Linked DNA regions of Oryctolagus cuniculus. The protein of the gene in region 1 interacts with the protein of each later gene in a pairwise test. Links are inferred from orthologs where the notes say so. Each region holds a gene or a part of one and is shown on either strand. Other genes may lie near its edges.

The links.
Region 2: the proteins of APTX (region 1) and XRCC4 interact in binary tests that used the Homo sapiens proteins (3 or more experiments, as listed by UniProt). The link is inferred for Oryctolagus cuniculus from reciprocal best matches to the Homo sapiens genes APTX and XRCC4.

The regions. Positions count from the first base shown.
Region 1 is NC_091432.1:196,420,815-196,425,073, reverse strand, and holds the start of APTX (aprataxin), read left to right. Parts: upstream 1-1,380; 5' UTR 1,381-1,913; coding exon 1,914-1,924; intron 1,925-4,259. UniProt on the Homo sapiens protein: DNA-binding protein involved in single-strand DNA break repair, double-strand DNA break repair and base excision repair.
Region 2 is NC_091445.1:6,370,930-6,374,742, forward strand, and holds part of XRCC4 (DNA repair protein XRCC4), read left to right. Parts: intron 1-1,178; coding exon 1,179-1,331; intron 1,332-2,754; coding exon 2,755-2,861; intron 2,862-3,813.

The DNA.
Region 1 (4,259 bases):
CCATGGAAGAAAACAGTAGTCCACCTTGATCAAGAAATGTGACTCTTCAAGGCTTGGTTTCTATTGTGTTTGAGAAAAATTACGCACTATGGGGCCGGCGCTGTGGCACAGCAGGTTGAAGCCCCAGCCTGCAACGCCAGCATCCCATATAAGCGCTGGTTTGAGTCCCAGCTGCTTCTCTTCCGATCCAGCTCTCTGCTATGGCCTGGGAAAGCAGTAGAGGAAGGCCCGAGTCCTTGGGTCCCTGCATCCGCGTGGGAGACCTGGAAGAAGCTCCTGGCTCCTGGCTTCGGATCGGCTCAGCTCTGGTCGTTGCGATCATTTGGGGAGTGAACCAACGGAATGGAAGACCTCTTTTTCTCTGACTCTACCTCTCTCTCTCTCTCTAACTCTGTCTTTCAAATAAATAAAAAAGTCTTTAAAAAATATGCACTATGTCTTCACCCATGAGATAGAAGATCTTCCATCTGGGGTGTGTGTGTTTGGCACAGCAGTTAAGATGTCCTCTTACCCCTGTTCCATGGGGTTTGATACTGCCACCCGTTCCTGCTAATATCCACCCTGGGAGGCAGCTGTGATGGCTCAAGTTATTGGACCCTTGCCACCCACATGGGAGACCTGGATTGAATTAATGGTTCTGGGTTTCTTTCCTGGTCTAAGATCAGCTGTTCTGGACATTTGGGGAGTAAACCAGTGGGCGTAAGATCGCTGTCTCTGCCTTTCAAAGAAATGAAAAAAAAATTCTTCCCTCTGCCAAAATACCTTGGAATAATTGCAATACATGACAGGGGTTAGGGAACGTCCTGGAATGGCTTTAAAAATCAGTGCCCATATCATTGATTGTTGCATCCTGCTTCTCTCCCTGACTGTCCAGGAGTTCCTTTAGTGAAGACAGCATTAAAAAAAAAAAATAAAAAAAATCTTAGCAGGCTTCCTCGGCCTCTGCCCGCTGCAGCCCTTTGTCTCCTGAACGGGAAGAAGATGCATTGTAGTTTAGAAAGGGGACGGCAATGCTTCAGCAGGTCTCGTCTGCAGGGGAGATGACCTTACAGGCAGTGAGCTACTGCTTAGCGACGGGAGCGTCAGGAGGCAGCATGGCCGCCTGGAAAAAGCCACGGGAGGGTTTGCTGCCTGAAGTCTCGTGCAGTCCAGACTGAGAGGCAGCGACAAGCGAATGGCCCTTAGGTAGACGCCGAGACAGCTCGTTCGCCTGGGCTAACTGCCAAGACCCACGCTTGGGCCAGTGAGGGACCAGTTGTGGGTGGGCACTTTTTACATCCGGGCATTGGGAGAGCCTGTTAGCCAATCCGCGGAGAGGCCGTGGTGACATCACCGGCCGCGCTGTGGCCTGTCTCGCGACGTGATCCGGCAGCGCCGGAAGCTGTGAGGCACGGCTGGAGTAACGTGAGCGCGTCGCTCTGTGTCGCCGAGCGGTAAGGCAGTGGTAGGCCTGCCTCTCCTGGCTGGGTTGAGAGCTGCGGATGTGGGCGCTAGGTCCGTGCAGCCACTACGCTTGGGAGACGTGTCCTCACGGACGCTCTCGTGGCTGTTGCGTCTTTGAAGACGTTGCCTCTTTCTCCCTTCAGCTCCCGGGCGCCGTTTCAGCAGGCGCTCGCGGTGGTCTCTGCCCCACTTGGCGTTAGTTCTCGCGTGTCCCTGACCTCTGTATTGAGCTTGGACCCAACGCAAGCAGAACACGGACTAATTAGAGAGCGGGCTCTGTCCAACCCAAGGAGGCGGCCCAGCTTGTCGGCAGGGACAGCGTTTCCGCCAGAAGCGCTTTCGAAGGAGCTCGAGGGTCCTTCACAAACTTCTCAGCGGCTCTTAGGAAAGCCAGACCGAGCAAGCCTCTTCCCCTAGAGACCGGGGCTAGCGGCTCAGTACAGTAGAAAGATCTTTCGCATTTGGAAGGAATGTGGTCCAGGTTTGGAGCCTTCTGGGAGTGTGGCTTATGTTGGGAAGTGGGGAGAAGCACAGGTATAGGTTTGTGCCCGTGCACCTTACACGTTGCTGGCCGATCATCTTATTTTATTTATTTATTTAAAAGGTAGAGTTACGGAGACGCAGAGGCAGCGAGAGAGAGGCAGAGACAGGCAGAGGTTTTCCATCTACTGGTTCACTCCCCAGATGGCCGCAGTGGCCGGAGCTGAGCCCATCTAGAGTCAGGAGCTTCTTCTGGGTCTCCCACGCGGGTGCAGGGGCCAGGGACTTGGGCCATCCTCTGCTGCTTCCCCAGGCCATAGCAGAGAGCTGGATTGGAAGTGGAACAGCTGGGACTCAAACTGGCGTCCATATGAGATGCCGGCACTGCAGGTGCTGGTTTTACGCTCTAGGCCACAGCCGCTCCTAGATGATGCCTTTACCCGTTCTCTGCTTCTGCGTTCATCATACCTTCACTGTCAACAAGAACGATGATGGTGTTGCCTGCTTAGTTTTGCCAGACGCTGAGTTTTACACCTGTCTCATTTAGCCCTTGTGACAAACGTAGAGGAATTTTATTTGAGAAGGGTTTAAAGCTTCAGAGGTTAAATAACTTGACTGAAGCCATGCAATGAGTAGATGGTGGAGCCCAGATTTGAACTCAAGGTGTCCAACTTAAGAGCCCTTGAGAGGCCGGTGCTGTGATGTAGTAGGTAAAGCCACTGCCTGCAGTGCTGGCATCCCAAGTGCTGGTTCAAGTCTTGGCTGCTCCACTTCGGATCCAGCTCTCTGCTATGGCCTGGGAAAGCAGTAGAAGGTGGTTCAAGTTCTTGGGCCCCTGCACCTGTGTGGGAGACCCAGAAGAAGCTCCTGGCTCCTGGCTTCGGATCTGCGCAGCTCTGGCCATTGTGGCCATTTGGGGAGTGAACCAGTGGATGGAAGACCTCTCTGTCTCTCTCTGCCTCTGCTCTCTATAACCCTGACTTTCAAATAAATAAATAAATCTTTTTTTTTTTTTTCTAGAAGAGGCCTTGAGGGTCACTACCCTTCAGTGATTTTCTCTAGTTGTTCATTAAAGATTCAAAGATTTACTTACTTGAAAGGCAGAATTAGGTTCACAGGGAGATTTTCCATTCATTGATTCACTTCCCAAATGGCTACAAAGGCTCGGGCTGTGCCAGGCCAAAGCTAGGAGCCCGGAGCTTCATCTGGGTCTCCCATGTGGGTGGCAGGTGCCCACCTACTTGGGCCATCTGCTGCTGCTTTCCCAGGTGCATTAGCAGGGAGCTGGATTGGAAGTGGAGCAGCCAGGTCTTGAACAGTTGCTAATATGGGAAGCTGGTCTTGCAGGTGCTGGCTTAGCTGGATGTACCACAGCACTGGCCCCTGTTGTTATGAATTCTTTTATGGAGAAAGGGTTTTAGATGTTTTCCCTTCTTAGAAAATCACTTAGGTTACACCTATCTGCTTTTCCTGTAGTCTCAGAGGATGGGTTGTTTCTCTGATGAAGGCAAAATTTTTAATCTTCTAACCTTTTTAATGCTTTTTATAGGAGACCTTGTTTTGTTTCTTTTTTTAAAGGTTTTTATTTAATGAATACAGATTTTATATGTACAGCTTTTAGGAATATAGTGTTTCTTTCCCCCATTCCTGCCCTCCCATCCCACCTCCTACTCCCTCTCCTATTCCATTTTTCATTAAGATTCATTTTTAATTCACTTTATATACAGAAGACCAACTCTGTACTAAGTAGAGATTTCCACTGTTTGCACCCACACAGAGACACAAACTATAAAGTACTGTTTGAAGACAGGTTTTGCTGTTAATTCTCATAGTACAACCTCATTAAGGATAGAGGTCCAACATGGGGAGTAAGTGCACAGTGACTCCTGTTGTTGATTTAACAATTAAGACTTATTTTTTTTAAAAGATTTATTTATTTTACTTGAGAGTCAGACTTACACAGAGACAGAGAGAGAGAGAGGTCTTCCATCCGCTGGTTCACTCCCCAGTTGGCTGCGCTGATCCAAAGCCAGGAGTCAGGAGCTTCCTCCTGGTTTCCCACGCGGGTGCAGGGGCCCAAGGACTTGGGCATCTTCCACTGCTTTCCCAGGCCACAGCAGAGAGCTGGACAGGAAGTGGAGCAGCTGGGTCTCGAACCGGCGCCCATATGGGATGCTGGTGCTTTAGACCATGGCGTTAACCCTCTGTGCCACAGTGCCGGCCTCAAGACTTATTTTTGATGTCAGTGACCACCCGAGGTTCTTGACATGAGCTGCCAAGGCTGTGGAAACCTTTTGAGTCCACAAACTCCGTTGGTATTTAGACAGGGCCATATG
Region 2 (3,813 bases), on another chromosome or scaffold:
CCATTAAATAGATATACATTTATATATCATGACTGATATGTGTGTATTATATATATATGATATAAAATTAGTAGGGTGCTGGGCTGGCGCTGTGGCATAACCAGTAAAAGCTGCCGCCTACAGTGCTGCCATCCCATATGGACGCTGGTTCAAGACCTGGAAGGCCCCTTTCCAATCCAGCTCTCTGCTATGGCCTAAGAAAGCAGTATAAGATAAGGCCCAAGTCCTTGGGCCCCTGCAACTATGTGGAGACCCGAAGAGGCTCCTGGTTTAGGATTGGCCCAGCCCCAGCCATTGTGGCCATTTAGGGAGTGACCCAGCGGATAGAAGACCTCTCTCTCTGCTTCTGCCTCTGCCTCTCTGTAGCTGCCTTTCAAATAAATAAATAAATCTTTAAAAAAAGTACTAGGACACCTATGTGGAACAGCAAACAAATAAGTTTGCTTTCTCTGCTGTATAGATATATCGGGAGATAGCTATGGCTCATTTGAGTACTGTAGGAGTCATACATGAGAGAATTTTACACTTTGCCTTATATATCTAAAATTGAGGACATGTAGTGTTTCACATTTCTGATTTCATTAATCGCTCTTTAGAAACATCAGATAGGATACTTTTACTTATTATACATCTCCATGTGTGTGTGTGACTGATGTGTTTTTTGTATGCATGAGTGCTACGAGGTTATAAGGATGTAACAAGTAAGTCATGTTCTTGTTCTGAAGCCATTCTTAGTCTACAGGACAATCAAGCAGATTAGGTCCATGACTTTATCACAGAACAAGTTTATGGTTGTTTTCATGGGAATATTGAGCAACACTGAGGAAACCAGTGGCAATTATTCATTTGAAGTTTCTCCCATAAAAGCATTCTTTTATAACTAAGCCATAGATGTAACCAAAATGATTACATGTAGGCATTTATTTGTCTTTCATGCTTTATTTGTATCAATTTTCAATTTTGGTCCATATCTCAATACCTAAATTACTGACCTGAATAACCAGTGACCTCTAGTTACTTCTTTAATTGCCTTTATGAAACTTCTAAGGTAATGAATGCATATGAACACATGATTTTTAATGGTAATTCGCTTCAAAAGTTTTCTTGAAATTTAAGTATTACATTGAATAATGAGGCAGCTAAGAAAAACGCTGTGATTTGTTTATTTACTCTTCTAGATTTGAAAAATGCGTGAGTGCCAAGGAAGCTTTGGAGGCTGATCTGTACAGACGGTTTATTCTGGTGTTGAATGAGAAGAAAGCAAAGATCAGAAGCTTGCATAAATTGTTAAGTGAAATTCAAGAACTAGAAAAGAACACCGAACACGTAAGGTATCTTGGTGCTTATATTTTTGGATGACAAGTACATGAATTTAAGCAGAATTCCTTTCCAGGCTTAATGCAGTTTAGGTGCCAACTTTTTAGTGCTATGAGATCACTGGGTATTCTGAGGTTGGATGCTCTACCCATTAGGGATGGCAGCTCTCTGTCTGCCTACTCTTTTAAGTACATCTAAGTGATATAATTAGCAAGAGGCTTATCTATATGGTATTTGTTTAGTTCTGAGACATCACTGAGAAAGAAACAAATTTATTTTTTTGAAGAAAGCTTTTATCTTCTATAAAACTGCCAGATTGTCACTGCGTGTTTGTCTTACTGATATCCAAGCAGGAACTAAGGGCAGAATCACATTGCTGATGTTAACGACCAAGGAGTACTCAGTTTTATCTAGTCATCTCTCTCCTTCTGTGGACTTCTCTCTGAGAGTGGATGCGTACTTGATTCTCAAGAAGGAAACCTAGGTGACAAATGGCTTGCATGACTTTGGACAACCGTAGGTTTCATGGGCATTACCAGGTACAGATTAGAGTCTGTTGCATTGAATCTGAGAGGAGGCACACATGTGCTAATGACAAACTGTAAAAAACAGCACATTTGATGTCAGCTGGTTTAGCTGGTTGGTGTAGCACTGATACCTATTAGTCTGTGGCTTTGGGCAAGCCGTTTCAACTTCTTCCTCACAATAAGGGTAAAGGTAACAGGCGCCTTCTCAGGATTTTAGGGCGACCAAATGAAACACAGAATTCCATTGAGATGGGAAAGTGCTAAATGCTTTGCAATCCACAGAGAAAATTTTGCAGAAAAGTATTTTGGTATAAGAAGAACCTGATTGTAAAGTTAATGATACTGAGCTCTGAATACCATTCAGATTATTAGGTAACAGAGACATTTATCTTAAGAGAGTTAATATACAGTCTCCAAAGTAAATTTACCTAAAACATATATATTCCAATACATATTTTCATAATTAGGATCTTTTTCCTAGAGTTTTTTTTTAAATATTTGTTTATTTATTTGAAAGGCAGAGTTAAAGAGAGCGGGAGAGACAGAGCAAGAGAGAGGGAAAGAGAGAAATTGATCTTCCATCTGCTGGTTCACTCCCCAAATGGCTCAGTGGCCGTGGCTGGGCCAGGGCAAAGCCAGAAGCCTGAATGTCCATCTGGGTGTCCCACATGAGTGGCAGGGGCCCAAGGACTTGGGCCATCATCCGCTGCTTTCCCAGAGCTGGATCATAAGTAGAGCAGCGGGAACTGGAACTGACACCCATGTGGTTTGCCTGCCTCACGGGCAGCGGCATAGCCTGCTGCACCGCAGTGCTGGCCCCGGAGTAATCTCTGTAATTACTTAATGCTGAACTTGCTGCGCAGCCAGCGTGAGCCCAGTGATTTTCAGTGCTCCATTTCGCCCTTCGTAGGGAGACCACAGCCTGCTCTGAGCCGACTGCTGACCGAGATGCAGTCTATGATGCGAGCACTGATGAGGAAGGAGAGAACCTGGCTGGGCCCTCTGTGGCGGCTGCAGGTAAGAGTGATAGACGCTCGTTTCTACCGTTGAGTGCCTCTCGCTTGGGCTTCGTATTCTAGTGATAAGAAGTTGTGATGGAGAACGTTGGGGATTTCTATTCTAAAACCTCAAATGCTTTGTTGTGAGATGTAGCAGTTCAGGCACATGTGTATACACACATACAGCACGGTATACTATTTCTGGTTAAACAAGGATGCATAACTCATAAGAAGACAGGACTCCGTGCGAATCTCACCACCTGAAAGCTGGCTTGTCTTTACCATTTGAGATCTTGTGTAGCGAGACCCCATGGTGGAGCTCTGAAGTGAGGTCTTCAGCTATGCAGTCGCTGACTCAGCCGCAGGTCTTCTCTCATTCTTCTGCAAAGGGGCTGCGGTGAAGTAGAGAAGAATGGAAAACGGGCAGCTGAGGTTCCCTGATCCTTACACAGTCCCTTGGGCCAGGTGCCCAGCAGGTGTTCACCCGATGGGTTTTTTTCCCAGAGTTTTATAGATCTCTTAGCAGCAGTGCAAGCTGGAGTTTGTGACCCATGAACTCATTTTATAGTCACATGGTTCTGATCTAAACCCATTAGTATAAAAAGAAACTGTTTGAATCACTTATTTAGAAAATATTTTTGAATACCTTTTGTATACCAAGAACTTTTGTGTGCAGTAAAGAATAAAACACAAAAATCTGGGCCATTGTGTGGTTTAAGTTCTTGGAAAGGAAACAGCTAAGATGATAAAGAAATTCGATGCAAAGTGTGTCAGTCTGTGCAACACGCTAAAGATGATAGCATAGCAGGGACAGGTAACAGGAATGTCAGACTGGGGGTAGGGAAGAAGGATGTGATTGTAGCCAGAGTCCCAGGAAAGGTGAGTCCGAAGGGGAGACAGCATGCCGTGCTCAGCAGTCCTCTGAGGTCCGAGGCCCTGGTCTGTTCAAGCGTGGACACGGGGCAGTGTGG